4 linked regions of the Struthio camelus genome follow. The protein of the gene in region 3 purifies or fractionates together with the protein of the main gene of each other region. This does not show direct contact. Links are inferred from orthologs where the notes say so. Each region holds a gene or a part of one and is shown on either strand. Other genes may lie near its edges. The genes, in order: TMEM59, GHITM, POMK and LRP6.

The links.
Region 1: the proteins of POMK (region 3) and TMEM59 purify together in Homo sapiens (affinity purification with mass spectrometry; 3 studies listed by BioGRID and IntAct, with this or other methods). This does not show direct contact. The link is inferred for Struthio camelus from reciprocal best matches to the Homo sapiens genes POMK and TMEM59.
Region 2: the proteins of POMK (region 3) and GHITM purify together in Homo sapiens (affinity purification with mass spectrometry; 3 studies listed by BioGRID and IntAct, counting the BioPlex papers as one, with this or other methods). This does not show direct contact. The link is inferred for Struthio camelus from reciprocal best matches to the Homo sapiens genes POMK and GHITM.
Region 4: the proteins of POMK (region 3) and LRP6 purify together in Homo sapiens (affinity purification with mass spectrometry; 3 studies listed by BioGRID and IntAct, counting the BioPlex papers as one, with this or other methods). This does not show direct contact. The link is inferred for Struthio camelus from reciprocal best matches to the Homo sapiens genes POMK and LRP6.

The regions. Positions count from the first base shown.
Region 1 is NC_090949.1:32,523,779-32,531,776, reverse strand, and holds the start of TMEM59 (transmembrane protein 59), read left to right. Parts: upstream 1-4,991; 5' UTR 4,992-5,032; coding exon 5,033-5,239; intron 5,240-7,871; coding exon 7,872-7,977; intron 7,978-7,998. Other genes in the region: TCEANC2 (transcription elongation factor A N-terminal and central domain-containing protein 2), read right to left, coding at 1,206-1,399, 3,328-3,469, 4,726-4,824.
Region 2 is NC_090948.1:32,766,715-32,773,985, reverse strand, and holds the start of GHITM (growth hormone-inducible transmembrane protein), read right to left. Parts: upstream 3,015-7,271; 5' UTR 2,082-3,014; exon of another isoform or gene 2,065-2,081; intron 321-2,064; 5' UTR 291-320; coding exon 162-290; intron 1-161. UniProt on the Homo sapiens protein: Plays an important role in maintenance of mitochondrial morphology and in mediating either calcium or potassium/proton antiport. Mediates proton-dependent calcium efflux from mitochondrion.
Region 3 is NC_090945.1:5,509,344-5,516,805, reverse strand, and holds the start of POMK (protein O-mannose kinase), read left to right. Parts: upstream 1-4,453; 5' UTR 4,454-4,604; intron 4,605-4,720; coding exon of another isoform or gene 4,721-4,939; intron 4,940-4,964; exon of another isoform or gene 4,965-5,321; intron 5,322-5,419; 5' UTR 5,420-5,439; coding exon 5,440-5,727; intron 5,728-6,276; coding exon 6,277-7,050; 3' UTR 7,051-7,462. Other genes in the region: HGSNAT (heparan-alpha-glucosaminide N-acetyltransferase), read right to left, coding at 165-241, 714-820, 1,975-2,044, 2,684-2,753, 3,658-3,779, 4,314-4,453, 4,721-4,939. UniProt on the Homo sapiens protein: Protein O-mannose kinase that specifically mediates phosphorylation at the 6-position of an O-mannose of the trisaccharide (N-acetylgalactosamine (GalNAc)-beta-1,3-N-acetylglucosamine (GlcNAc)-beta-1,4-mannose) to generate phosphorylated O-mannosyl trisaccharide (N-acetylgalactosamine-beta-1,3-N-acetylglucosamine-beta-1,4-(phosphate-6-)mannose).
Region 4 is NC_090942.1:81,182,859-81,190,742, reverse strand, and holds the start of LRP6 (low-density lipoprotein receptor-related protein 6), read left to right. Parts: upstream 1-4,879; 5' UTR 4,880-5,125; coding exon 5,126-5,180; intron 5,181-7,884. UniProt on the Homo sapiens protein: Component of the Wnt-Fzd-LRP5-LRP6 complex that triggers beta-catenin signaling through inducing aggregation of receptor-ligand complexes into ribosome-sized signalosomes.

The sequences.
Region 1 (7,998 bases), on a different chromosome or scaffold from region 3:
CCTCTTTTATTCTCTTTTTGCTACCCCTCGCTTAATTTGCCCCTCTGTTGGGCTGCGCTAGAAGCCCCTTTGTGTCCATTCAGCCCCATTCTCCCTTCCTCCTTCTATCAGCCCTTTCTCAGGTATCCCTGCTTTGCATTTGCTGGGCCTCTGTGGCTCCCCTGCTTATATATGCTATTCATCCTGCTGATGTAAACTCTATTTGCACATATGATGGTAGCTGCAAGCCAGAGGAGTATTCTTTACCACACTTTCAGGTGAGTTCTGTTCAGAAGTGATTCTGCCTGGTCCCGCCCTCCCTAATACCACTTGTTTTAGGATAGTACCATATCTATCCTCGTCTCCCATAGGTTTACACTTTACCACCAGCATTATCACTATGCATAGACACGTTTCCCAGAAACCTGATTTGACTAGCAGCCTGGGAAAGGTAAGCTCTCCATAAAATCTCCATTCTGAGACCTTCCCGCAGCAACCCATCCTTTTGCTCTGCCTCGGTCCAGATGAACTACAAGTTGGAGAGGCTGTTTTCATGGCTGACAACACATAGCTTTTTAACTTTGCTCTGAAACTCTTGAGCGCCTACCTCTTGACTTGCCATTCAGAGGATAATTAACGAATAAACTAAATGATAATTATTACAGAGTTTCATAGAGCAAGCAAACTGATCATTAAGCCTTTCAGTAAATCCTGTTTGCTTATGTAGAGATACCAGAGGGATCTGGTATTTAGCACCACTTTATATACTGTCAGCCTATGTCAACTCTATGTTTTTGCAATAGATTTCAATTTGCTCATGCTTAATTACTTAAATACAAAACATCCAAAAGGTCCCAGTGTTGCTTTTGCAGCTAATAAGTAGCAGGGAAAACTGTGCGTTCTAACTTCCTTCTTCTCCTATGCAGCCTAGCTGCAGTAGATACGCAACTGTCCCATTTGCTAGTTATGTAAATGAGAGCAATACACACCTCACTTAAAACAAACACGTTCACTTGGTCAAGAACAAAAAAATCTCCCTTGAAAACAAAGCTCCTTATAAATACAGACATGCTGAGAATCAAAGCAAACAGGAACAGGTCATTAGCCTTGTCCTCATCCTGCAGGCAGGATCAGCTTTTTAGTAACTATGTCTGGAAAGGGTTTGTCTAACTTGTTCTTACAGGAAGTTACTCTTTGAGACGAAGATGAATGGACCTGAACACTACCTCTAGATCCAAGGCTTTGCAAAGCATCTTCCGCGCGTTCTTTCTGAAAACCTCAGTCTTGGGATCACTCCTGACTTCTATTGAGGGTTTGTTTGAATGGTCTTTGATGAAAGTTCGCCACTCTGTGTAAACATCCTTTGCAAGGCTGGCCACATCGTGATCTGAATGTTTGCGCATCTTATTCACTGTGTGACCTGGAAAACAGCAACAGCTCATTCAGCTTTGGTAGGTGGGCAAAATATAATGGACAAGAGTGATGTTACAGTGGAGCTAAAGCAGTCACACAAGTTTGTAATTCAGACAGTGACAGCACAATAACCAACGCACAGGCATAAATATAAACATGAAATCACTAGGAGCAGACCCTGAAGTTTTTATTCATTGACCTCTGCAGTGATTCCTGCAGGGCACTGGTGAGGCCATGTCTGGAGCACTGTGTCCAGTTCTGGGCTCCACAGTACAGGAGAAATATGGAGCTATTAGAGGGAGTGCAGCAAAAGGCCACAAAGATGATTATGGGGCTGGAGCATCTGTCATGAGGAGAGACTGAGAGAGTTGGAACTGTTTAGCCTGAAGAAGAGAAGACTGAGGGGGGATCTTATCAATGTGTATAAATATCCGAAGGGAGGGCATAAAGAAGACTGAGCCAGACTCTTTCCAGTGGTGCCCAGTGACAGGACAAGAGGCAGCAGGCACAAACACAGGAAGTTCCCTCTGAATAACTTTGGGGGTGACTGAGCACCAGAGCAGGTTGTCCAGAGAGGTTATGGAGCCTCCATCCTTGAAATATTCAAACCCCAGTGGAACACGGTCCCGGGTAACCTGCTCTAGCTGACCCTGCTTGAGCAGGCAGGTTGGACTAGATGATCTCCAGAGGTGTCTTCCGACCTCCACCATTCTGTGACTTTTGCCTGAGCAATTACCAAGCAATTGAGTAATCTTGTAAGACTGGTCTACAAGAAACACTTTTTTTTTTTTTTTATTAACTAAAAAACCCCTTAAAGAAGCAGATGTGGCAGTGAGGTTTATCACTGTGATGTTTATAATGTTTTAACATGAGAACATCATGGTGCCTCCAAGCAGAATCTTTCCAGTTGACATGAGTAATTCGTTCAGCATGCCGACACCCCAGGTACTACACTGGGGCCTGCCAGTGCAAAGAGACTTTCCTTTGAGAGGAGAAAGAAGAGATCCTTTTCCAACTGGGCATTTTTCTGACCTACCTGTCACGCTAGCAGTAGTGTCTGACTGGTGTTAACACTACTGGCCAGAAGATGTCACTGTTGGTCTTCTGTGGCTTTCTTACAGCCCAGCAGTGCTCAGGGAAGCACTGGGAAAAATCTCAGGAAAAGGCTGAACGAGCTAAAAATGGCAAACTAAATGACAATCCAGAAGGAAGAAGAAAGAGGCAGATCCTGTCTCCTTTTCCAAGGCAAGGAGGGCTCTTTGAATAGAGATCCAGCTGCTCTAATGGCAAACAAAGGTCAAAATGACTTTCTCTCGCTTTGGGGTACTTCAGATACTCTGTGTCATATATGATCTTCACAGACAGGAAAGGCAGGGTCCATGCGGTCTCACATTATTCCTCCCCCCAAGTCCCCACACGGTCAAGCATAGGGCTGTGTTAGTTGCATGGAGCTGCCTATCAGTTGAGGATTTCTCCTTGTGAGAATGCACTAAGCACTTCCGGGGCGTTACGAGGAGAATTCTTGCACGTTTGGAGGACTCAGCCAGGTCTGATGCATAGGCCCTGTCTCAGACCGCAAGGGAGCACTCTGCCATGCCCCCAGCAGATGGCAGCAGAAGGAACAACACACAGACGTGCCTGTGAAAATCTCTTCCAAAATGCTGCCACGGGAGGAGTGATGCAATATTTAGTAGTAAGCAGGCAACCTTCATGTACAGGGAAGAATTAAAGGAGTGCTGACTTTTTTCAGTATGAGTTATGAAAACTGCAGGCTGCGTACCAAGAATTTTTTGTACAGAGACCAGGTAAACCTTTTGAGACGACTGTGACACTCTTTTCTTAAAAAAGGCCTGTGAGCTAGTCCCTGGCAATCTGAGCAGCAAAGGATGCAAGACAGTCTAATAGTCACACTCTAGATCAAGCAACAGGACATACCTATTTTTGTTGAAAGTAACACTTCCTTGGAAGGTATTTTCTTTTTCAGCTCCTCCAAAGCTTCAATCAGATTCTCTTTCGGTTGCCCTGGAAGCTCAAGCATAGATTTCCATCGTTTTATGTCTTCCACAACCACAACTCTCTGGAAAAAAGAAAAACCATTAGGAAAGTGGAATATTCCTACTACAAATAAAGACATTGACTTCATTTCAGCTACTGGGACTGTTATCGACACAGGAATTATTGATTATGACGTGAACCAGAGCACAGAATGCATGGCAGTCTGGAATGATGGGTATTTGCTCGATATTAGCACCCTACTGCAAATCAAGATAGAAGTAAGTTGAAGGCAAAGTAATATGCTTAATCTTATTCTGCCAAGCTCAGGGCACTTAACAGCAAATGTTTGCTACAAGAGAGGTGTTCTGAATTTAAGGAGTCTGTTGTATAAATGCTTCATAATAGAAAAGGGGATAAGAAGATAGGAAGGCAGCTAATTATATCATCCTTAGCAGCCTGGCAGAATCTGAATCTTGTTCAGATTGGTTTTAAAGTCAAAATTATGTCAGCAGAGAGAGAAATGAAGCATCAGGAGCAGCATCACAATCTCAAGTACACCGGCTGTTTGCACAGTGTTTTTCATTTGAACTGTTTATAGCAGGACTCGCTAGAAGGGACTGCGAAACGACGCCAGTCTCATTGCATTCCAGATGTCAGGCCTCTTACAACGGTTCAGCGATGGTCAGACAGCTGATGCGCTCTGTGCTCTATCCTCTTGCTTTGTGCCTTACACGAACAACAGGCAATTGTGTGTGTGTGTGTGCTGTTTCTGCAAAGAGGCAGCAAAGCGGGGCCCAGGTCCTACGTAAGGCAGGACCACTGTGCACCCAACAGCAGGCCTCTCCGGGGTACTCAACGTCCTGGCCGGAGAGAGAGGCAAGCCGCAAAACAACTCTGCGGCTGCCACAGGTGCCAGCCGCCCCTGCCCCGCGCGAGCAGGCCGGAGGGCGCCAAGGCCTACCCCGTCTCCGTTTCGGGAGTCCAGCAGGCCGCTCCCTGCGAGGCCGCCGCGCCAACGCCGCAGAGGTGGCGGGAAGGAGCTGAACCTACCTGGGCCCGGAGCGGCGGGCGGGCAGGGGTGCTGCAACCAACCCCCCCCCCCCGCCCAAAACACCACCCCCCCACACCCCCCGTGGCGGGTTTCCCAGGCGCTAAGGGACACCGGTCTCAGGTTGTTCACCCAAAAGCCCCCCCCCCCCCCGGGCCCTCACTGCCAGCCTCGCTCCTCCTGAGGTGATTTCCCCCCCCCCCCCGCCCCGCGCACAAGGCCTCGGCCTGGCCGCCCGCCCCAAAGCCGCTCTCCCGCGTCCCCCCCCCCACCGAGGCCCGGTCACCTGCCTTGAGGGACTCGAGGGTGACCTGCCGGTAGGCCGCGGCGGGGGCGGCCCCGCGGGGGCGGCCGGCGACGCGGGCCCCGCGCACCACGAACCGCTCCATGCCCCCAGCCGCCCCGCCCCTTTCCGCCGGGTAGTTCCCGCCGCCGGCGCGGCCCCTCGGCGTGCCTGGCCCCGCCCGGCGGCGAGGACTACGTTTCCCAGCAGGCGCCGCGCCGCCGAGGCGCGGGAGGGGGGGTAGTCTCGCGAGACGTCAGCGGCGCCCCCGCCCCGCCCAGCCGGGGCGCTGCGGGAGGAGGAGGAGGAGGAAGATGGCGGCGCGGCGCGGCGGCCTGCTCTACCTGCCTCTCGCCGTGGTGCTCCTGGCCGTTGGGCGGGCCCGGGCGGCTGGGCCGCCGCTGCCACCACCACCCCCACCACCCCCGGGCTCCTCCGAGGCTTTCGACTCGGTGCTGGGTAACACGGCGTCGTGTCACCGCGCCTGCCAGCTGACCTACTCCCTGCACACCTACCCCAAGGTAGGGGCGGGCCCCGCCGCGGCCCTGCCCGCCCCCCCCCCCCCCGCAGGGCCCCTCGTCTCCGGCCGGGGACGGGCAGGAAGCAGCCGTTTTGTTTCCGCCTCAGCCGGAGGGGCCCTGGCGGCGGGCAGAGCCCTTTTTGGGAGGCGAGCGTGGGGGCAGCCCGCGGTGCGGGCGTGCTCGGCTCCGGTCGGCGTGCTGCTTGGTTTTGGGGTGTCTGTGCCGTCCGGCTGAGGTGCTCGACCCCTCGAAGCAGGGGATGCTGTGGCTTTCCCGGATGATACGTGTTTCTCCTCGGAAATACGTGCTTAGCGCGCTGCGAGCCGAAGAGATGCCGCAGGGTCTGAAATACCTCTTTCAAAGAACAGTTTGGTTAACTTGTGGGTTTGGGGTCCTTGCTTTTTCTTCTTCTTTTTTTTTTTTCCCGTCCTATTCCTAAAGAGGTGACTCCTCATTTGACTTAGGCTGCCCTATGTCTTAGAGCACTAAAACAGGACAGTGTCCAAGACAGGCTAAGGATCCTGAGCCAGGACATCAGTGCAACACTTGAGTTTTGGAGGATGGAGCATAAAAAATGGCAGATGAGTAGCTTGACAGACCCTGTATTTTGGATTCACTTGCCCAGGGAATTTTCCCTCTTATGAAAAAGAGCCTGGAGAAATAGCCTCGAAGGGCAATATAATTTCCCACTCCAGAGTTCACTGTCAGTTCAAAGCTTTGTACAGTTCTGAGCTGCTGGTTTGAATTTGGAAAATCCATTACCCGTTTCAAAATCTCATTTTTCGTGGTTCTTTCTTGGCAAAATATCTTTTTATCTATTGCAGCTATTGAGCAGGTTGAATCCTAGGTTATGGGAACTTTTATACCACCTTTGAGGTTTCACGTGAAGGCAGCAGGCGGTAATACGGCAAAAAGATGGTAGCACTAGTATCAGGTAATAGGTCTTTGTTTTCATATGAAACTCTGAATTGGGTTTTGTGACTTGGTAGCTGATACTGGTATTTCCACAGAGGGAAATAACAGGGAGTTGTGTGGAATAACAGTAAATTTGGATCTGCACATATGATGTGTTTTGGTGCCTATGTACAGTGACAGTGAGGAGAAAGAACAAAACCTGAGAATTTATTTAGGACTAAACGTTATCCTAAAATATTTCCATGTTATTTTAGAGTAATTTTCTTGTTTTTGTTATAGGACCCTTTCAAGTTCAAGAAAAACTGATTATTACTGTGATTTTTTTTTTTTTGCAGTACTTTTCAAACTCTTTCTGTTGTGCTGTTGGAGCTGTCGAATGATACAGCCATCTCTTCCATTTCATTTAGTCTTTGTTCCGTTTGTCACAAAGCTACCGGTTAAATTGGAGGAAATTGTTTTAATTGCCATTGAAAAGCAAGACAAACATTGAGACCTGTGTGCAAGAGTGCAATAGAAACATGTCTGCTAAAGTTAATTCAGTGTGGATATCAATGTACATAACGTTTTCTGGAACAACATAACTATCTTAACTCTAACAACACTGATAACATGGCTAAGTTTGAATCTATGTTCCATTTTCTACTTTTGTAAATTAAAAAGCATGCGAACTTGTGCTTTCAGAGAAGCACAATGGCCAGTTCATTTACAGTGGATTGCACAGTAAGGTGTGGTATGTTTGTCTTCTCTTCTATGAATTCAGAGTTTTTTTCCGTGTGTGAAGCAACTGGCTGCAATCATTTGAGTGGTTACGTAGGTAATGGATTTGATGGATTTGATTTTGCTGAGTGATCGCTAATAAGAGTGCTCACATAAAGCAGGCAGTCATTAGTTCTGCAGCGTGAGGAGCACCATGTGTGGGAAGTGCGCGTCCCTGCCTTTGATATGGTGGATAGAGGAAATACTGGGTATAGTTTTTCTGTACTGGCATAATCTCAATGTTTTTTATAGTTACCATAAGGGATTACTTTCCCCTTCAGTTTGATATAATAAATAAAAATACATGTTTATGGAACTAGTTTGGCAAGTAACCGGTTAACCGGGGTACTGGTATAGAAGATAACCTTCTACTTTGACAACTGTCATAGTTCTAATTAGTGTACAGTAACTATATTGTGATGTGTTGTCAAAATATGTCTTTGTTTTGCTCCTCACCTGTTGGGTTCTGATATTAAACTTTTGAGGGGGAGGAGTGTCAACTTCTTGTATGACTAAATGAAGGCTATTGGAGTATGTCAGGAAAGGTTTTTACAGCCAGTATCTCTTATTTTTTAAACCGTCACTTTTTCAGAAACGCAGTGTAAGTTTACTCTGAGTTGTAGGAGGCTGGAATGTACACAACAGTATTTGCTGTTCAGTCTGCCCCACTGCAGAATAAGGAGTTCTATTTGAAATAAAGAAATCAATAGTTATATTACAGTGTTACAGAGCTATAATTTGGTTTGGTTTCATATCATCCAGACTGTCATGTTTAGCTGTCTTCTGGGTCTAGTGTAGGGGAGGAAGGTGATAGGGTGATGCTCAAGTGGATCACTTTCTATAGCTCTTCCGAGGAGGGGGGGGGAGAAAAAAAAAAAAGCGAGGGGAGGGGGGGAGTCTTTGTTTCTTGACATGTTATTTTTGGATGGAGGAATGCAAGTCTCTTCTTGTGCCTTCCCAGGAAGAGGAACTGTATGCGTGCCAGCGAGGCTGCAGACTGTTTTCCATTTGTCAGTTTGTGGATGATGGCATTGATTTGAATCGGACCAAACTGGAATGTGACTCTGGTAAGAATTCAGTACTCCTTC
Region 2 (7,271 bases), on a different chromosome or scaffold from region 3:
CACACTTCCTTCACTTAGAGCACAAAGGCCATAAACAAGTGGAAGGCTCATGATCATTCACAACAGAGATTACCTGCAAAGTGATTCTTTTGGGGAAAAAAAAAAAGCCATTTGACCCTTTAATACATGAGCAATAAGAAACATTAGAAAAATTACCTCACCTGGCTAGGCTGCCACAGCCTGTATGCTTTTATATTGGTGTTCCTCAAAGCTGGCGAAGCCTGAATAATGGCAGGGCGGACAGCCTGGCATGGTAACGTCCTCAGGCATACTAGCCTTGCAGCCAGCATGGTTGCTTAAACGGTTAAGACACAATATTCCTGCAAGTGCACAAGGAAAACATACTTTACTATTTGGTTACTCGGTTTTCAGACAAAACGTTACACCTAGTCCTCATGCTTGACTAGGCTGCCCTACATAATAGAAACAGTACTAATACTGAAGTATTGTAACTTAAGAACACTCTAGCTCTTTTAATATACAATTTCACTCTGTTCTATCTATATTTGTCTCCCAGTTCAGTCAGAGACTTATCTCCCACATCAAGGTTCTTCCTTTAAAAAACAGAAGGACAATACAACTTCTCATACATATGGGTTACATCAAGACCCGTTATGCGCTCATAAAGGGCATCCAGTTACAGGCTCGAGTTACTTTGGCAACTAATTCCATTTTGAGAAACAACACTGCATCAACTTTCTGCCCTCCAAAGAGCAAGAAGTGTTCCAAATTTACACAGCCATCAGCTAACTATACAGTCAAATGAGCCCACAGCATAATATACGTGGCAGACAGTTTCAGAAAAAAAGTTTTTAAATCCTATCTTTGAAGGATTAGCCAGTATTATGGACAGTGCATTTAGTCAAGGTCACAAACCTGAGCGGATTCCCTAGGACAGGCAAAGATCAGCCTGAATATACTATAGGTGCTATTAAAATTGCCAACTCTCCTCTATAAACACTGCATATGTCACTTGTAAAAGAAACAAAATCCTCCTAGTTTCACATACTTTATATCTACATATAATCTCTTTTTCCAAAAGACACCCCAACTATCAGTATACTTATTCTAACAACCGTTTATAATTTATATAGTGTCAGATATAATTTAAGAGTACAATGAACAAAGATAACTTCGAACATGAATGAAAAGCGAGGACCCACAGCATTAGACACTGCAGATCAACTGCAGAGAAGTGAAAAATGAAACAAAATAGTTTTGCCACTACAAAAAGCCACGCTTCTTTGAAGCTTAGTTACGAAATCCTATTTATGCAAGACAAGTATTTTCAGAGACACATCCTAGTTGTTCTACTAAACCCCAACACCACACTCAGGAAATACTTTTCAGAACTTAGTGACTGCTCTTGTGATTTTTTGTTTTTTAGAAGCTAATTTTTCCAAACGTTACATTAACAGGAAAAATGGGTAACTGCACAAGATTAAAAACATAAAACACTATCAACATTTCAGCATTCCTACTGGGAAATGCAGCAGCAAGAAAAATACTGTGAAGTTACTGCCGCACCATACCATAAGGAAACCAGTTCTACTCCAGGGAGACCTACCAGAACTGTACCTTGAGGGAACAAGGTCAACCCTATTCACTATGTCAGCCAAAATGCCTGCGTACATTCCTCCCCCCCTCCTCTGCAGCCACCTTCCAATTCATACCTCTGTTATCTCTAAAATTACTACAGCAAACCACAACGAGTTAGGCCTCACTATCGCTGCCGTGCACAAAACACTCCCAGACGGCCTTCACAAAGGCAGACACGGCAGCAAGAGGCACGCGAGGGGCAAAACCTCGGCCCCTGAAGCGGCCTTTATTTCCCTTGATTTCCCCAGGTCACACTCTGCCCTGCTCGACCGCCCGTGCCGCGCGGCCCAGCCGAGGCGACGGCGGCGCACAGCAGGCCAGGCCAGGCCCGGCCCGGCCCCCTCCGCCGAAGCAGCCGCGGCCCTCAACAAGCGTTCCCCCGCCCGCCCCGCGGAGACAGCCCGGCACCGATGAAGAGCCGCCGGCCGGCCGGCCGGCCGCCCCCCTCCCCGCACCGCCGCGCACCCGCCGCTCAGCCCCACCGAACCAGCTCCGCCGCCGATCCCCCAGGCCGGAACGATGCCTCGGTAGCGGAAGTCACGTGTGGCGCCTGCCGGAACCTCCGGTGACTGGCTCGCTGGTCCCACGTGACCCTCGAGCACGCAAGCGCCATTGGCTCGAGGCGGCCGGGCGAAGCGTCACCCGCAGCCGTCAGGGAAGGCGCAGGAACCATCTTTAATACGGCCAGAGAAACTTCTGGAAGTCATCTTCGATAGGGCTCTGCAGTATTTGCGGTCTGGTTTCTGGTCGCGCAAACAACAACTGAGGCCCTGTGCTCTGCGAGCCTGACTCGGAGGGCTTTCAGCGGCGCTTGCCGCCCTGAGCGAGGAGGCAGAGGCCAGCCGCCGCTATCTCGACAGACGGCAGCGCTCGCTAGCCGCCATTTTACGCGCGGCGGCTGAGCGCCGGCGCCGCCATTTTGAGTGGGGGCAGGGAGGCGCTGGGGGCGGGCTGGGGGCCTACCCGGGCGCGCCACGCCGGCGAGGCAGGCGCGGGCGGGTCTGCTCCTGGGTCCTGGTTTGCTTCCCCTCGTGGGCTACGTTCAGCCCCTGCCGTGCGTGTCCGGAGGATGCTCAGCACGCGTGTCTCGCCCTCTTCACCGCACCGGTACGGAGCGGGGTCCCGTGCGTTGTGCGCGCTCCGGTTTGTAAAGGAGTTGCTGCCTTTTTCCAGCAGGTGGCATGCGCTCTGTGAAAATAAATGAGAGCAAAGCTTTAAAAGTTAACTTTACCTTCGAGGAGTGTCATAATCCGAGTTGTTCTGTGCGCTTTTGCCCTCCATTTTGTCAGCGAGCAGCTCGGTGTGCTGACGCGGGCGTTAAAATGGCAGGGAGCGGAGGCTGCCCGACTGCTGCGGCGTGCCAAGGAGGGCCGAGGGGACCCGAGCCGCTGCTGGTGCCCGCGGTGCTCCCCTGGGGCTCGGCCTGCCCGCGGCTGCTCTCCCCTTGCCGCTGGCTGCGTGTGAGCTAACGCCCTGCTCTTCTCAGGGCGTCAGAAAGCTCAAGACCTTTCCATTTGCTTCCCTTTACACCTGAGTGATTTACTCAGAGCTGGGAGGTATTTCGTCCTTTTTAACCCTTTCTTCTTGGGGTTATACCTGTTGGCGTGGAGGTATTACCTGCTTTGGGGTGGGAGCGCCCGGGGTGCAGATGCCAGATAAGTACAAAATACGGTGCTGTACGCGCAGCTCAGAGGGAGGTGTGACTCCAGCAGGACCAACCCTAGCCCTCACCCTGCCCGGGCCGGGCCTCGCGCAGGGCTCCCAGCCCTGCCAGAGCCTCACCGTTCCCCGGGGAGAAACCTTTCGCCACCATTGATTTTCTGCCGGCAGCTTCTTTCCCGCCTCGCTCCAGCTGGGGCTCTGGGCTTCTTTTCTGTTATTAACATTAACCCTAAGCTGAGCCGTAGACAAGGCACAGCAGCGTTTCTCTAGACTGTTGACTTCCTCAGGGGGTTTCTTCTTTGCAGCCCTCATTTTCCTGCGGCAGCTCTTTTCCAGCCCTGCTCCAACTGTAGCTCTGGCTTTTTCTTTCCACCAGCCCTAACGCTAAGCCCAAGCCCAGGCCAAGCCAAAGGCCAGGGACACTGCTCAGTCCGGAGACTCAGTGTTGCTTGTGAGCAGAACTCTTTTCACAGCTCTCTTTCTCCTTGGTCGGCTCTTCTCCAGCCCTGTTCCAGCTGCGCTTCTGGCTTTCAGTGCGGACCCTAACCCTAGTCTGAGCCACGAGCCAGGGACTGACTGTTCAGAAACGCAGTAGTCTTCAGAGGAGAATTGTTTTGGCAGCCCTAAGTTTGCTTTGGCAGCCCTTTTCCAGCCCCGCTCCAGCTACAGCTCTGTAGCTTCTTTCAGCCTTAACGCTACATATGGGCATGGTTCTTCAGAGCCAAGTGAAACAGACTGAGAGCGCCTTGAGGCCAAGATCAAAGGCAAATATAACAGAAAAGGTGTGGAAAAAAGAATGAAGTACAGAAATAGAGAAAACCTGTTAAGGATCATGAAATTAGCCTCCCTATACCTTGGAGTTTCCTTTTATAAACTAAGAAATAGACTATACTGACCTGCTAGTTTGCAAAATGAAAGTCAGATAAGAGAGATCAGATGTGGAAGAGGTCTAGAAATGCAATAGCACATGCAATCTTGAAGAAGAATTTGAATGAAGAGACTGAAGCAGAAGAATGTACTATATCAGGGAGGAAATTCCATAAGAGGGGGCCAAATCCAATGGGATTCAAGGTCTGAGCCTTATTTTCTCTGAAGCTTATTTACTTTCCTTTGTAGTAAATGAAAATCCAGGGCTTTGAAGTCTGTAGCCCCTAGGTCTTCTACAATTGCAAAAAAAATTTGCCAGTTTCAGGCCATAAATAGGTTGTTTATTTAGAGGCTTACAGTGTTTATTTTAGAGTTTGTAACACTCTATAATTGTTATGTACTAAAGGATTCATTATAATAATTAGTATTTAAATTTATAATTCAGTTATTAATAGTAATAATTTATGCAAGGAATCAAACTTATCTCTCTCGCTACAGCATCATAATCATGTAAAAAAATCTCCTGGGACTTTCAAATAAGATCATCAATCCAGCTCTGTGCCAAATTGTTTCTGTAATAAATAGTTTTGCCAGAAGCTACCAAATCCACAAAGGGCCCATAGTGCAGCAAATTCAGCAGTTGAGACTTTTTCATATAAATTCTTCTGCTAGCAGATACTCCTCTTCTGCTAGATGGTCAACAAATTTAAATGCCAGCTAAAGCACTGATTGTTAACAAGTGGAAAAACAGTGGCCTGTTATGTAAGCAAGTCCCAATCCATCTAAGAGCTTTTGAGTTAAAACCAGCAGGTTGGAGCCTATCTGTTGGTGCCACCGTAAAATTATTGTTTTTCTCAGACAGGAAGGCAATAGCTTCAGTCACCACGCAGCCTCATGTTACTGCAGAGCTTCAAAGCAGCTGGCTGGGCTTTTGCAGTAGTTCAAGCTCATGCTGTCAAAAGCATGGATAACAGCGTGATAGCAAGGCTCATTGGTGAGATGGCAGCCAAATGCACACATAAAAATTTGCTGCTTAACTCCGATGCACTGTTCCTTTATGGCATTGTGTTCAAATGCACTGTGCATCCAGCACCTGGATCAGGGACCAGGACTGATCAGCATCTTCATTAATGTCCTAGATGATGGGCAGAGTGCACCTTTAGAAGGTTTGCAGATGATACAAGACTGGTGGTTGTGCTGCCATTCAGAGGGACCTTGACAGGCTGGAGAAATGGGCTAACAGGAATTTCAAGAAGTTCAACAAAGAGAAATGCAAGGTCCTGCACCTGGGGAGGGACAACCCCAGGCACTGCAGGCTGGGGCTGACCAGCTGGAAAGCAGCTTTCCCAGAAAAGGGCCCTGTGATCATGGAGGATACTGAGTTGAACGTGGGCCAGCAATCCACATTGCCTTGTGGCAAAGAAGGCCAACGGCATCCAGAGCTGCATTAGGAACAGTGTTGCCAGCAGATCAAGGGAAGTGACGGACAGACGTGGAGCTACTGGAGCGAGTCCAACGAAAGGCCGCTAAGATGATTAAGGGACTCGAGCATCTCTCAGAAGAGGAAAGGCTGAGAGAGCTGGGACTGTTCAGCCTGGAGAAGAGAAGGCTCAGGGGGATCTTACTTGTGTGTATCTGATGGGAAGGAGTAAAGGAGACAGAGGCAGACTCTTCTCAGTGGTGGCCAGTGACGGGACAAGAGGCAATGAGTACAAATTGAAATACAAGAAATTCCATTTAACCATAAGAAAAAGATTTTTTACTGTGAGGGTGATCGAACACTGGAAGAGGTTGCCCAGAAAGGTAGTGGAGTCTCCATCTTCGGAGATATTCAAAACCTGATGGCATGGTGCTGGGCAAGCTGCTCTTGCTGGCCCTGCTTTGACCAGGGGGCCTGGACCCCAGAGGATCTCCAGAGGTGCCTGCCAACCTCAACCATTCTGTGACTCTATGCAATGTCAACATAAAGATGATTCCTGAAGGACCCTCTTTTTTGAGGGGGGCTGATATGCACCAATAAGAATTGCTTGGAAAACAGTAAACATTTTCCTCAGGCAGTATGTATGGAAATGATGACATTTCTGAAGAAACAAAACTCTTCAAAAAATAAAAATCGCAAAGATACTTTGAAAGCGGTGGAACATTTCTTCGGAAATCAAAAGGATAAACAGGGATACTCAGTGATACACAGCTTCCTATAATTTCAACAGACCATGTTTTCACTTGCAAAACGTTTTGTATTTGCTGGAAATTTTGTAATTATCTAGGCAGGATCTAACACAGTTAATGTGCAATTATATATTTTGCAGCAGCAGGAAGCACCACTGAGAAGGAAGTCGAGTGTCCCTGAAGCCCACCATCCCAATGCATGGCAGCTGGGAGGCAGCAGGGCAGACCCCAAACCCTGCCGCTCGGCAGGGCAGGAGCCGGGGGAGGAGGGCGAGAGCGGCGGTTCATCAAACTCTGCTGCTGCCATGGCATAGGGGGGGGAGTTCCCCAGCTGCCGTGTCCCAGGGAGGCTGGACTAAATGCCAGCAGCCCTGAAGGGACCGGTCCGAGCCCCTGCTCAGTCCCCCCTCAGGTCTCCTGCGAGAAACATCACGTATTTCCAAGCAGTGTAATCAGTCTGTTCACACTGATAACTGGTTCGTTAAGGGGTTTCGTTGTCTTGACAGAGAAGTGCAGACGGCCAGTAGTGCAGTCCTCTTCCAGGAAACACCGTGTAACGTATTTTCAGCTGTGCGCTCTGCCTTGCCAGTCACCCTAAACAGGACCGTGACAAATCCTTATGTTTAGCCCAGTGCAATCCGGGAAAGCAGTATGAGCCACAACAAGCCCCTAATTGTGTTAATAAATAGGGTCGCTGTGAATTTTGAAGTTTAACCTTATAATTCTGCAGCTCTGACATCCTCTTGCAGAAAGAGACAACCTCATCAACTGTTCACATGGCTGTGTTCATCAGCAGAAAATAAATGAGTCTGGAGGTAGCAGAATTTCTCCTTAGGGTGAACTTTGCCATTGAAGTTTTTCAAATTAGAGCTGAAGAAAAATGTTTTGAATGCTTTTTGGCTGTGTTGACTGTAGCGTTTCAGATCGCTGTCCCAACATGTTACAGGGGATTTTCAAACTTAATCTGTAGCTCC
Region 3 (7,462 bases):
AGCACTATATAGTGCTTCTCCTACTAGCCGATGGTCCAGACACCGTGCTGATGCAAAATGGAACAGCTTCCTGGCCTTCAGCTGAGCCACAGCTCTTTGCACCAACTGCAGTCCTAACCATATCTAGATACTGCTATTGAATAACTGTCTCAGCTGTACTTTACCATTCCAGCTCTCATGTTTGAAGAACCAGTATTTTCCTCCTCCATAGTTAACAAACACCATAATTATAAGAGAGAGCCTATAAAGACAACAAACACACACAGAAAGTACCACATGTCAATGAAATACATATGTATGAGCGCAGAGTTCATGCTTACCCTATTAAAACATTTCTAACTGTAAATCTGGTTTATTTTACTTTTAAAACAAGATTATGTACAAGGCTTCCAGCTTTGCTTCCCGGGAGGCAGCATTTCAAAGATCAGAGGTACTGGTGAACCAAAGTAAGCTCCTTCACATAGCATGTTCACACTGAGAAAGAGGTTGTTCCTTCCCACCTTCCACTGCAACTTTAATGCTTCCTCAGATGAGCTCAACTTCAAAGTGTTTCAGAAAATCCAGGAATTAAAACCCTGATTATCTTCCTAGTAAAACAGACACCCCCCACCCCGAACTCTTCATCTTCTACATAAACCTATACATTGTCAAACCACCTTTGGAAAATCTGATTCCCCTTGGAAATGCAGCTCTTGGGGAAAGTCTCTGCTCACCCTCGGAATGTGTCCAGGGAACGTAGCCGCTGCTGAGAGATGGCACTCCACAAATGCTGTGAGGGATCGCTGCTAAGGGAGTCCACTCCATTTGGGGACCCGAGCTCCTTAGGGAACAAACCAGACACATGAAGGGGAAGTGAGTAGCTGCACCAACTGCCTAGGGAACAGATGACAGCAAACTAAGGCTTAGGTTCCTGCAAACTTTCAAACACAACTTACTGTGTTTGTGTCTGTTCTCCCCATCTTCTCTTCCTTTTGCTTCCCCACTTGCTATTTTTCACCCCTTCATGGCTCAACCACGTTGCAATCAACTTTCATGTCAGAAAAATGCAGATGTTTCACACTCCCCCTTTGACCACAGTGGAAACAATAGTCCAGTGTAAAGAGCCTCTCCTGAACGCTCAGGAGAGCTGGGCTCAATCTAAATCAGCCACAGACTTGCTGTTACTTCGATTGCTGCTTTACAACAGAGCTGAGCAAATCCAGCTGCTGACTCTGATGAAAAGGATCAGTCCCATCCCATCCCATCAGCACTTGTCTGACAGCACAGAGAGACTGATTACAAAGCTAAACTGGCAGGAAAAAAGAAGAAACTCCGTTTAAAAACAGGAGTGGCTTCTTCCTTGTCTAGTTCCCTAAATCGCTCCAATCAGCTCCAGTGACAGTATAAAGAAGGGGACACTGCTGCAAAATAGCTACAAACAGCTACAAAAATCACTGAGGAGCTCTGCTCGCAGCCCTTTCAATTCCAGTCAGGTTCTGACCTCCTAAACGTGAAGCCCAGATGGCGATGACCTTGCTATCTTCCTGTAGAAAACATGGCACATACACAGAAATGCCAGCTCTAGGGCTGCTAGAGAAATCCTGCCTCAAGTGCAGATCCCGTAAGACTCCTATTGTGCTGCAAGCAGACACGAAAGCTGGCATTACTTCCCTTCTCTTACGCTGCTTGTGTCAGAACGGGACAATATTTTCAGTGAGATGTTTCCTTCAGTGGAACTAAACAGGGCAGAAAGCTGGATGTTCAAGACTTGCAAGAGTTCTGCTGGGAATCCATTAAACTTGCATGGAAACCCAGTCTAGTGCTCTCCATTGACAAAAAATTGGCTGTCTGACCTCAGTGAAGATTTGCCAAGGGGAACACTTGCCAAGGGGAGCAAGACCAGTAATTAATGAGCTCCAAAACGCCACGGTGGTGTGACTCACCGTGAGGTGGAAACATTACAGACTGCAAATTAAGGATACTGTGGCCACTCACGGAATTAATCAGACGATCAGTTTCTCTCGGATTCAGTTTCTTGTAAACCCAATTCCTGACTGGATGAATTCTGAAAATTAGTAACAGTTAAAAAAAGTACCTCATAACCAATTTCATCTTAATATCAACTATTTAGCAGTATAAATCAAAAGCTGAGACAGCCCCTATTTCTGTTTTCCCAGGTCACACACACTATGCAGTACCTGCAGCCCCAGTTAAGTCCAGTTCTGTTACTACACTGCCCTACACTACAGGCTCAGGTTTGGGGGCTTTATTCTTGGGTTGTTTATAGGCAGGGACAACTCATCTCATCCAGCACACAGGATGGAAGACTGCATACGTTAAATATGCTTGAAGTCTCACTGACTTCTATTGCTGATTCAGGGCTAGGCCCATGAAGAAGTCAAGGAAGGGTGAGGCAGGGTGGTGAGCTTACAGTGGATGTCAGCTGCTCTGCAGCAAATGCTCTATGCACAAGCTTACGCGGCTGTAAAATATTCCTCAATAGAAATTTCATCACTCGGCTTTTATTCTCACACGGACAGCTACCACAGCTTAACTTGTGCATAGCAGCCTGGTAATGGGAGAGGACCTGCCAGCAGGGCTCCAGCGGGACTCCGAAGCACTACCACGCTACAAGAAGAGCTTTTAAACCAGCCGCCCCATTTCACGTGTACCCATTTCAGGCGTTACAATACTGCTCACTTACTTCATGAAAAGGCGTCCAACAATCACGATAGCAAGGATCCCCATGTAAACCAGGAACGCAAACAGAATAGCTACATGATAGAGAGAAGACGACAACTCTGTACCTGATTTAACAAAGCCGTTCAGCAGCCTGGGTCTGGCCGCATGAGATATGAACACAACAACCAACCCAACCCACCATTCGTCACACCACCTCCTCCGCACAATACATAGCCACAGCCTGAGTCCCACAGAAAAGAAAAGAAAACAAAAATAGGCTAGTTTTGAAGTGCAGCTCAGTGACTGCAGAGCTCAGCATTAGCAAAGCAAAATAAACTGCACTGCACCACAAGGCAATGGTGAAGAAAGAGCCGATGACGAAGAAACGCGAGAGATTTAGAAATGGCCTCAGTGCAAAGAGGAGAGGTAATACGCCAAGCTAGCAAGCATGGAGGATATTTCTTTACAGTCAGAGAATTGGAAGGATTGGAGAATAAGCTAATAAAAAGAATGGAAAAGATGTTGATCATCGTTTCAAACAGCCCTGGAAAACAGACAAACAAAAAAAGCAAGACAACAGGTTTAAAACTAAAAAAAAAAATCCAAACACTGCACAAATTGTTTCCATTTTGTGGGAGAAGCAAGACAAGAGAGAAGAAGCGGGAGGGTCCTGTGTACATATATATACATGCAGGGAAACAGGAGCTAGCTACTAAAATGTCTCCTTCCAGACACATATCCACTGATGTTTCTGGACTAATCCCTGCTCCAAAGAGGCTGCGCTCTCCAGTATCTCCTGTGAGAGGCCTGATCCTGGTCAGAGCCTCACTATGAAGGGTGTGAAACATAAGGAGGTAACAAGCTGCGAGAGAAGAGAAGCAGGCCCACGACACATCTTCAGCACAGCACAACTGGCTGCAGGGGCTTTTAGGAAGCCAGTTTTGCCGGGAGACACGCAAATTGTCGAATGAAAGGGGAAAATAGAGCATTACATACGGAGGTAGCTGTTGATAGGGCCTTCGTTGATGATTAGGTCACAAGAAACGGTTTGGGTGCTTCTACTTAGGGTCTTTACCTCGAGGGAGTAATTGCCAAATTCTCCAAAATGATAATGAATCCTGCAAAGGATAAAGGAAATGAAACTTGCTGAGCACATCACTGCTACGCGCAGGTACCACAGCAGCATTTGGGGACTCGAAGCCTGAACGCTTGTAGGAAAAGCACGCTGAAAACTCGGCCTAAGGGAGTGACGTAGCAAGGAGCTACCTGGTCCCACCTTTGCCAAGGTCACCCTCCCCAAGCCGAGCACGCATGCGGTTTGCCCGCAAGCCCTCCTATATCACCTGTCTGCTTGAACTGCAGCTTCTGTGCAAGAGAAACTAGGCACAGGTGGACGCGCATGCTGGCACAACATGTACCGTGTTGGCTCCTGCTTGCGCCTAGAACCTTTCGGCACAATTATAACATGAGCCGTAGTTAGAGCAGTGTGAGGAAGACTGACTTCTGGGCCTAAACAGTCAGGAAAAAGGGGGTGATGAGCAGGCAGTAATTCCTAGGTGCATAGCGGGAGGAAAAAAAAACAAAACAAAAACCAAAACCAACCAAATATAGCAGGCAGCTATCCTAGCGTTACCCAGGGATGAGCCACGTACGTGCAGAGCTCTCTGTCTCCTGAAAAGCCATCGAGCAGCAGGGTGAGCGGATGCTGGGTGTCCACGGCCACCGTCACCGTGCTCGGTTTTCTCAGGCTCTCGTTCCTTGCCGGGATGAAGGCCAGAAACTGATAGGAGCACTAGGAAAGAAGAGAGCCAAGTTGAGGGCCCGGAAAACGCAGCGGGAGCCGACAGCACCACCCACGGCGGGCTGCTCTCTGGTGATTTAAAAGGAAAAGAGGATCCTGCTGAGCGACCCATGGAAACAGTAAAAAGCGAAGACTTCCGCAGGTGGGAGCGGGTAGCCCGGCACCGTAAAGCCGAAGTGGGGAAAGGCGGCGATTCCACCGGGAAGGGGATATAAGCGCCGAAGCGGCGGGGCAGAGCCGGGCGGCGCCGGCGCTCACCTGGTGGCAGGCGGCGGAGGCGGCCGAGAGCCGCAGGCCCTGGCCGGGCAGCGCGTTGCGGACGAGCAGCAGCGCCTGGTCCATGCGGCCCCGCGGCGGCCCCGCGGGGGGCGCGGCGGCCCGCGGACCCTCGCCGGGCGCCTGCGGCGGGCCCGGCGCCAGCAGCGCGCCGCCCAGCGCCGCCGCCACCACCACCGCCGCCGCCGCCGCCGCCGCCATGGCGCCGCGCTCCGCCCCTGCCTGCAGGGGCCGGGCCGGGCCTGGCCGAGGCGGCGGCGGCGGCGGCACCGCTCCGGGAAGTACGCTCACCCTCCCGCCCACCCCTCCCCCTCCCCTCCCCTCCACCCTTCGTGATTTTCCCTCGCAACGCCCGGCCGCGGCGCCTCCTTCCTGCCGGCTCCCCTCCTCCTTCTGCAGCGCCGAGGGCCCCTGTGCAAAGAGCCCTGCGCGCGGCGTGAGCGCCGTGTTGGGAAACCACAGCCAGATGTTGAGGCAGCTGCCAAACTCCCAGCTGCTTTTCACATCCGCTCTGGGCACCGGGTCGTGGAGTTTCTCGTAGATCAGGCTCTCCGCTCGAGGTTATGGTGTCTGCAAGGCAATGGTATAGCCTGCAATGGAAAAGCCCCGCAGACATCCATCCCTGGGCATCTCCTGCCCAGAAAGACTTCTCCTGCTAACTCTTGCCTGTGTCTTTTACAGAGAATGTAGAAGGCAGTGCCATGGAAAAGAAATCGCACTTCATTAAAAGAGAGTTTCTGCAAAGGGAGGTACCTTTGGTCTTGCTGGGGCTGCTGCTTGTGACCGTCCTGCTCCTTAATGGCCTTCTCTATCTGTACCTCAACAATTTTTACGGCTCTTCTGGACGTGCTGATACGGACCCCAGCCTCTGCCCTTTTGGGTACTTCAAATTAGGAACGGCGAAAAATTGCTCCCCATGGCTGTCCTGTGAAGCCATAAATAAGGAAGTAAGGAAACTCAAATGTGTTGGTGAAGGAGCTGTGAAAAAGGTGAGTTTGGTTTTCCTTTCTTTCCCCACCCCGTGGAAAAACTCGTAAGCATAACAGCTTGCAATATTAGCTGGCTGATTAATGTCTATACTGCTGTTAAGATCCCCACAGCAGCTAGTTGCTGTAGACATCCAGAGGACTATGGCTACTGGTAAGCTATGCCAAAGAGGTAGGACAGCGGGTCCTGGGGCCAATTTCTACCTCGCTTGCACCCAATGGCATCCAGCTACGCCAGCAAAATCACGGGGCTGGGTGAAGTGCTTGTGGGGCGTGATGCAATCATGACAGATAAAGACTGGCTGATACAAACTGGGTGGGATGAAATCCTTTGATCATTTAATCCATCTGTAGTGCCCATTCCAAAGAAAAACTGAAGAAATTGTGATCTACTGCATGCTGTAATTACAACATCTGTAAGCCCAGGTATGTGGGGCCTACCTAAAGGCTTCATGCTGTCGTAATGCTGTCATGTGTTAACACAGGACTGTGCCCAGTAACTGTAATTGGAGAAGGCTCCACATGTCTTAGGCGTCTCTTGCATGTTCTCAGGTCTTTCTTTCTGAGTGGAAGGAAAACAAAGTGGTCCTTTCACAGCTCACCAACTCAGAGCTGCAGGAGGACTTTCTCCACGGACTGAAGATGCTGAAAGCACTACAAAGCAAGCACGTTGTCCGCCTGCTTGGCTACTGTGAGAAGCAGTTCACAATACTCACCGAGTACCATCCTCTAGGCTCCCTGAGGGGCCTGAATGAAACTCTGCACACGCCTAAGTACAAGGGCTTGAACACCTGGCATCGCAGGTTCACGCTTGCTATAGACTACGTGAGCATCATTCGTTTCCTGCACAGCAGTCCCTTGGGCACCTTAGTGATGTGTGACTCTAATGACCTGGACAAGGTGCTCTCTCAGTATCTCCTCACAAGTGACTTTCGCATCCTGGTGAATGATTTGGATGCTTTGCCGCTTGTGAACAGGAGTGCTGGCGTCCTGGTGAAGTGCGGTCATCGGGAGCTCCAGGGTGAGTTTGTAGCGCCTGAGCAGCGTTGGCCCCACGGAGAAGAGGTGCCATTTGATGATGATCTCATGCCCCCCTATGATGAGAAAACAGACATATGGAAAATCCCCGATGTCTCCAATTTTTTCTTGGGCCATGTAGAAGGGAGTGACATTGTGCGACTGCATTTGTTTGACATCCATGCAGCGTGTAAGAAGAAGGACCCAGCTGAAAGGCCTTCTGCCCAAGAGGTCTTAGACACCTACAGGAAAGTTTTGACTCTGCTTATTCGGGAGGCTGCCATGCCTGGTACCAGGGAAATGTTGTAGAGAATCATGGGACGAACATTGGACTGAAGTTGGTGTCCTTCCTATTTATTTAGCTTGCCTGAAGACTATAATGGAGCAAGCTCTCTATCCCCCAAACTGAAAAGATAAGAACCACCAAACCTGTACTTTTGTCTTTTGACTAAAAAAAAATTCCACCCAATGTTGGGAGCTGTGTGAGTTTCCCATTAACATGTTTTATCTATCATTGGAAGAGGGGGGGGAAGAAGAGAAATGAAGTTGCGTGGATGTGGTGGGTTTTCTGGGTTTTCCTCAAAACCCAGGAAACTATATTTTTAAAAAAAGTCCATTTTTACCAGGAAAGAATTTGAAAGCAAAAAGAAATGTTGACCCACTTGAAATGACTGTCAGAGGCCTGGAGAGCGGAGACTGACCCAAGCCCCACTGAGAGCTC
Region 4 (7,884 bases), on a different chromosome or scaffold from region 3:
CTAAAATAGTGTGAAGAGATACACGATGCTTCACCAGTAACTAATTTTTAAGCTTCAAAGGCTAGAGTGCAAATCAGAACTGGTAAATATTATGGAAGTGCATTGCAAAATGCTGAACTCCATGAAAAGGTTATGAAAAGGAAGTATTTTTAAATTGTTGTTGCTTAAAATGCACGCACGTTATGGTTAATAGAGCCCAGATGCTGCTCATTTTTGAAAATTTTAGCAAACTAAAACAAAAAAGTGTTTTGGTTCCTGTCAGCCTGAAATGCGATCTCTTTTAAAAGGATATTTTAGCTGCATCAGCCCAGCATTAAAGTACTTTACAAATTTTGGAACTGTAACTTTCTCAAATGACATTTTTATAATTCAGCTTTGAAATGTAGCCATGGCTAAATATTCATAAGGCAAGTATTGGGTTTGCCCTGTGGTCTGGTGGGCAGTGCCAAATTAAAATCAGAATCCTGCACAGTTCACACTGAAAATGCTACAGCTAAGAGGCAGTGCTGTTTTCAACTCACTAGGAGATGGAAGAGGAGAAAAGAAGTAGAAGGTAAATGGCCTGGCCTTGGATTCACCATCAGCATCAGTCCAAAAATTCCCCCAAAGGTGTAAAGAAAATGCTCAAGCCTTTGAGGTCATCTATTTCCCATTTCCCTTTGGGGATATCACCGGACTCCTGTTGGAATAGCTTGCCTGTACAGTCTGCTAGGCTCAAGCAGCTTCTCCTCTGTGAAGTTTTTGTTGTAAGGAATTTTTTAGCCATTTTAAGAAATGCACAGTTCTCACCCTGAGCACCAGGCAACATCTTCTGGTAGAGAAGATGAGAAAAAAAGAATGGATATTATACTTACACAGGGGAAAAATAAGATAGTAATGAAGAACAAGGAGAGGAGGCAACTATATGTGGTACAAGGGGACTTCATAGGATATTTGACGGGAAAATTACCACAGAAGTAGTGGGAGTGATAGTGTTTGCTGTGCACTGACAGGCTCTGGAGAACCCCTGCAAATAACTGCAAAGACAAATGAGGTCTCAGGGCCTGGAGAAAACTTCTGGAATACAGCAATGACTATTAGGCCAAGGAAACATGTTGGTAAGCTGCCTATCTCCTGTTGAAAAAGTATGTTTCATATAGTATGACAGTAAAAGTGGGGGACAAAATGCCTCTGCTTATGATTGAACTTCAATAAGGAGTAAATAAACTGATAATCTGTTCCTTAAAGGGAGGACACTGGTGAGCCCATTGCACTCTTGGAGCAGGATAATCCTTGTCAAGCACCTTTAGCATTAAATGATGCTTAAGTTACTTAGAGCTGACCTCCTTTGGGGGAAGTGTTGGATGAAGGATTTTTGTTTATAAATTGCAACTGTACGACCTAGGCAAAGTGGCATGGTAATGATGCTGGAAGTTAGGGTCTCCCATTTATCTGCTAAACGGTTGTAACGCAGAAATCACTGGTGAAGTCATCACTGTGCCATGTCCCATTCCCTAAAATATAGTGCTCCAGACTTTCCTACTGGGGGCAAGAGAGGACTTGAGCTTGAGTTTCAGTATGAAATCTTGGCCCTTTTGAAGTTGGTGAGAGTTTTGCCATGGACTTCAGGGGAACCAGGATTTCACCATGCCATGGCCCATTAATTCTCATCGAGACATTCAGTGAGGGAGCTAATTATGATAGTGGTTTCTGTGATGTGGTCAGCCCAAATTCGTTTGCTGAGTAGCCATCTTCTACCAACAGCTTTTGCTCATTAGGGACTTCAGTCCTGGTCCTACAAAGTCCCATTGCCTTCACTGGAACTCGGGGCATAGCTCAAAGATGTGGTGACTTGGGCAGTCGCTGCTGGTTGAAGGAGCTCCATCTGCTACTCCTTGCTGTCCTGTGTGCTGACACAACTGCTTGTCAGGCTGCACTAGGAACCTGGCCAAGGAACTAATCTGAGTATAAAACACCCCTGCAAAAGCTCTTGTATCATTGAATCACTCTCTGAGGCTGGAGGTAAGGGTATGCCTGTGTAGCAGATTACTTAGATGGTGATTCAAAGGCTTTAGTAGCTAAGTCTTGAGGTAAAGGACACCTGTGCAGATTTCCTAGCTGTTGAAGCCTCTGACTGAATTTGAACAGGCAAATGGTGATTTCTGTTTTTAAGAGAAACAAAAATAATAGTAATCAACAAGAGGAGACTCTTTCTAAAATAAAACAGACAATCCCTCTCCACTCCCACTTGCTTTATTCTGATTTCAAGCTCAAATAATGGAACATAATAAATATTTGAGAAATCTTATCTGTCAGGGGCCTTTCTGAAGCAGGTAATCTTGCCTCCTATTTTACTTTGTAAAAACCTCTGCAATGGAGTTTATTCTATGAATGAATTACAAGTAAAGCTGACAAACTGTAGTATATCGGCTTGATCTTGAATCCTAAATATAGATGGGAAAACGGGTTCAAAAAAGGCTACCTACACTTGAGTAGAGGTAGAAGGATTTGACCCTACAAAGGCTGTGGGAAATAGGGGATAGGCTGAGGTAGGGGAAGCCAAAAATCATTAAATAACTTAGAAGAATGGACTATCATTAAATGACTATCAGGAAAGGAAAGGGCTTGAATTACAGCAAAATGGTGAAATGCATATATGGGAGGGGTGGGAGCATATGAACACTAAAAATAAAACCAGTCAGCTTGGACAGCAGGGAAGATGTCTTTAGCAGTGACAGCAAACAGGCGGGGAATCAGGCTCCCAAGGGAGATAGTCAAGACACCAGAGTGCTTCCAGCAAAAATAGATAAGATGCTAGTGGGAATAGCATGTAGAGAAATATGTTGCATGAGGAACGTTATGACTGTATAGCGTAAGCTAAAAAAAATCACCCAACCCTCTTTTTTTATCTGATTCCAATTAAACAGAGCAAGCAGAACACTGTACTCCCTCTGCCTGTTTCTGCAACATCTAGTTGTGACAAGGGTAAGATGAGGGTTATCTACTGTCTGGGTACATTTTTGTGTGGGAAGCCTTTACCCTCAACCATCTATGCAGCTCTCGTTGGAGTTTGCTCATGCTCCCAGCTGACATTGTCGTAACGCAGGAGGATACTTCACCCAGCAGAGTCAAGGACAACATTTTGTAAGGCAGACCTGGCCTCAGGCAGGTATTGCTCTTGAGTTGCATTGTTTACAGTTTCAAGATCTTTTTTGCAACCTTGAAGGCTGGAAATGTATTTCTTTTTGTAGATGGTTTTAACTGTTATTCTTTTCCAGTAAAAGTTCAGAGTCTGGTATTATCACGACTCCAGGAGCTACAGCCTGATGCTAGAGTCAATCTGCAGTGCCCAGACCTTTAATGTGACCCAGATGTTATCTCCTACTGTAATCATAAGAAAAGCTATGAAAAAGTATGTTCAACAGATATGAAATTAAAAGTTAAATGTTTCCATAAGTTTCTAATAACTCTAAAATAATACAGGCTTTCGAATGTAAGGATTTCAAATTTTGCTTCAAGTTGTTCTGCTTCATAGCTTTCCGCTAGTGAACAGCTCTCGTATTCTGTGAGAGAGAAAGTGGCACGTACATCAACAGTCCCTGTAGAAGTCCTCATGTAGAGTTTGTAAACTGGAGAAAACACAAGAAAGTTGGATTTTGTAGTGCTTAGGAAAAAAGAACAGACTAGGTAAGGAGGGAAGCGTTTTAAAGCAAGGGCATGTTAGAAGATCACAAACTTTTTTTCCAGGAAAAAGGCTGTTTAAGCGGATATAGCTTGTGAAAAGAGCAAGTTATGCCTAAGCACGGCACATTAGCTACTCTTTGGCATTCATTTGCTGTTTCTAACTACTGCTCAGAGTAGTAGTTTGTGCCATTTAGTTTAGTAAGGGGAGGGGGGGGGAAACCAGAATCCCCCTAAAAGTGCCGCGAAATAAATCACATGCCACGACATCAATCAAGCAGCAAGGTCCTATTGATAAAGGAATGCATCTCAGCGCTGCCCTGGGCCAGATCAAGGTTATCAGTCCCCACACAAGGGGGCATGCATTGTAACTGCATTTCGCCAGGAGCGCTTGGTCTTTTTTTTTTTCCTTCTTCTTCCCTTTCTCCGCCTGCTACTGTACTATGAAGCGGCTCGGCCCGGTGCCGGGTGCCCCTGCCTCCCGAAGCCGAGCACGAGCAGGCCGGCGGGAAGCTCAGGGACGCGGCCGGGCACCGCGCAGGCCGACAGCGCCGCCGCGGGGGCTGCGTCGCCATTTGGGCCGGGGGAGCGGCCAGGTACGGCCCGGCCCGGCCCGGCCCGGCTCGCTGCCCAGGGGCAGCGCGCAGGCCCGGCTCCACAACCTCACCCGGCAGGCGCCGCAGCGGGCCCGCGGCCCGACCTCGGAGGACGCGGCCGGGGCTCTGGGCCGGCCAGCCCGGCGATGCCCGCCTTCACCTGGAGGCGGAGGAGGAGCCGCAGGGCCGCGGAGGGACCCTTTGTCCTGCCGCCGCTCCGCGCCTGAAAGTAGTCCCGTCCCTCCCAGGGCTGATGTTGTTCCGAGCGCCGTATCGCACCTTCCTCCCCCCCGCCCCCCCCCAAAAAAAAAAAAAAAAAAAAGAAGAAAAAGGCAAAAAGCAGCGGCGGAGGGAAAGGAAATAGTGCGGGGGGACTGCGCAGCGGCGGCCGGGGGCAGCGCCGGGGGAGGCGCGCGAGCGGGGGCGGGGCGGCCGTGGGGCGGCCGTTGGGCGGCGTGGGGGAGGCCGGTATCCCTGCGCCTGTGCGCGGCGGGCGGGGGCGGGGCCGGGCCGGGCCGGGGCGAGCGGCGGGGCTGCATGGGGGAGCGGCGGCGGCGGCGTTGGCAGTGAGGCGGCGGCGGCCGGGCCGGGCCGGGCCGGGCCGGGCCGGCGTGGAGGGAAGCGGCCGCTGCCGTGGCGGCGCGGCGGGGGAGGCGGCCTGCTAGGCGGCGGCGAAGGGCGATTTGCGCGGTTGCCCTTCTCTGCTCCTCTCCTTTTCCACCTTCTCCTCCTCCTCCTTCTCCTCCTCCTCCTCCCCGCCGCCTGCCCGAAAGTATGAACTGGCAGCGGCGGGGCTGCTCCTCTCCTCCCCCTGCTCCGCCGCCGCCGCCTCCCCGCCGCCGCCGCCGGTGAGAGGGGAGCGAGGGAAGATGGGGGCCGTCCTGCGCAGCCTACTCGCCTGCAGTTTTTGTTCCCTGATGAGAGGTGAGCGGGGCAGCGGGGGGGGGGGGGGGGAAGGGGCGGGCAGGAAAAGTTGACGGGGTTGTTGCGAGGGGCCATGTTGTGTGAATCCAGTCAGGGAAGGCCCCGGTGGCCGGGTCGGGTCGGGCTCCCCGCCCCGCCGCCCCCCCGGCCTGCCCTGCCCGGCCCTGCCGTGCCCCCGCCGCGGTCACCTCGCGGGCAGCCCTCTGGGCGCTCGGCAGGCAGCGCACGGTAGTGGTGGTGGTTATTGTTGTTGGTGGGTTTTTTTGTTTAAGTTTGCCCCCCCACCCCACCGCACCCCGAGCTGGTCGCGCCTCGCCTGTCTGTCCGCTGCGGATGGACAGCGGAGCAGCCCCGGTGAGGCGACCACCAAAACGTCACGCCAGTATTGCTATTACAGTCATCACGTTCCTCTCCTCTCCTCCCCCCTATCCGCGAAAGAAAGCGTTTTCTATTTTTCTTTTTTTTTTCTCCCCCCCCCCCCTCCCCCGCGGGAGGAGAAGTGGGGAGCCCTACACACTCAGCGAGAGAAGGCGAAAGTCTGTTAAAACTAGTATTTCACTGACATTTTCCACACACCCGAAGTAAGTGCAGTATGCAGTTGGCAGGAGGAGTAATGCTCCTCTCCGCTCTGCTGGGGCTGTTTTGGGACTTGAGAGAAGTTTGTGTTTCTGTGGTGGGTTGTGATGAATGCTAATATAGCCTTAAATAAGCATTCCAGTGCGCTACAAACGGATATCACTTAAAATACTTGATATAATTTTTATACCCCTTCCCATCTCTCAACATGACTTCACATATACTTCACGGCAACATCCATTTCTCTGTGTTTGCTTTTCCTGGGGAGAAAGCAGCTGTGATGTTTGCATCCATCGTTTTGTTATTTGTTTGTATTTTTTTCATACTACATGGGAGAGAAGATTAATTGCTGATATTTAAAGAAATCAGCCACACTTTGATTTAGAAAATTAGTCTATTGCCACCATCATTTTGTTTTGAAAGCTGGAGTGAAGGTGGTTTGGGTTGAAGGAGATGCTTGGTAGCCAGTTACTTAGTACTCTAGAAAAGGAAAAATTTCTTCTTCCTCCTACCTTTTTTTTCTGTGCATCTGTTTGCCATATTGTATCCTGTTTGCAAAGATACAAGTATATTTATTTAAATAGGCTATGTAACATTTTGTGGTCCTCTTGCAGCAGTGAAATCCAATTTTCAAAAAGTTCAGTTGGATATGAAGCATAGAGAAGAACTGTTTTCCAATTGGTTCATTTTGTTATGTAACGGCCGTACCTGTTCTTAATGAAACATTTATCTGGCTCTAACTTGCTGTTTAACCTAGTTTGAATGACAGCTCAAAAAAATCACTGTCATACGTAATGTCACACAATAGTAATCACTTATTGTCACTTCTTCAAATTAATATCCAAATAATTACATGTCCTTTTGCGAATGTTCATTTACTTGATGATGCTTAATAAGGAACTTTGAAAAAACACAGTAAACTGTTTGGACTGTCTCTTTTTTTCCCCCTTCTCTCATCTTTGTCGATTGCCAAGGACTTTTGTATCAAAATTGTGTCTTTGTTTCTTCAGAGTTCATGTGCTCCTGCTGCTTGATCACCTACCTGAAGTCTCCATCTTCTATTTGTAACAAGATATTAATTTTCCTACTGGCTAGTTGTTACCTTAGGTAGATATAAACAGCAGGAACAGCTGAACTCAGAAGAAACAGAAATCAAATTTTAATGCATGCATCCTCCCTAACAAACAACATCTCTGCAAGTAGAATTGGTTTGAATAAGATATGTTTGGCTCATAAGAGGTGTCAGCAGTTCCTTAATGAGGCAGAGGCAGTGCCAGCGTGAGTATGAATAAGTATATACATGAAAGTAGCAGTTCTGAAGGTCACTGTTTGGTTTGTAAATTTAGTGCTGTGAAAGGTGCCAAGCCAAAGTATTGGAGACTGAAACCCAGAAAATCTAATAGCATGTATTTGTGGATTGCAGAATCCTCTCCGCTTAGAGAAGTAGCCTCCCTTTTGCCGCTGACTTAGAAAAAGCAAATGGGCAGAGGTTTACGATAGCTACGATCGCTAGGGAAAGGAAATGATGATAGATACGTTTACCAGTGTGGAAAGGATTGAAATTGATAACCTGGAAGTGCAGTGTCCTGTGAGCTTATAGCTTTGGAGAAGTACCAGGCAGTTGCTAGCTAGAGACAGGTGCACAGTACAAGACACCTCTCTACCAAAGTAGTCCAAGGACTGTGATGAGCCAGATTCTGTAGCTGTTTTCAGGGCAGATATTTTGATTTGTAAGGGCCAGGAGGTTAACATCACTACAGCCTGCTATGGAGGCTTTGTAATTTCTTTCATATTCTCTTTGATGGAAGAAAGGGGTCACTTCTCTGAAACTGCCAGACCATCATCACAGTCTGACATCTCTACTCCTCTTACTCCTCTCTTGGCTCCTGGTCTGATGTTGGGGATTGAGCTTTCCTCCTCTCTGAACGTGAGCAGTGTTCAGGGAGCAGCTCCAAGCAAGGCTTGGAGGACTGAGCTTGACCTGCTTCGTGGCAAGTTTGCTGTGCTCTTCATTGCAGCTGTGAATCCAGTCAGGATCTTGTTAGGTAATTGACAACTGCAAAGAGGCAAAAGCTGTAGCATCGGATCAGTTCTAAAACTTTGTAAGTGGGGAAACTGAGATTTCACT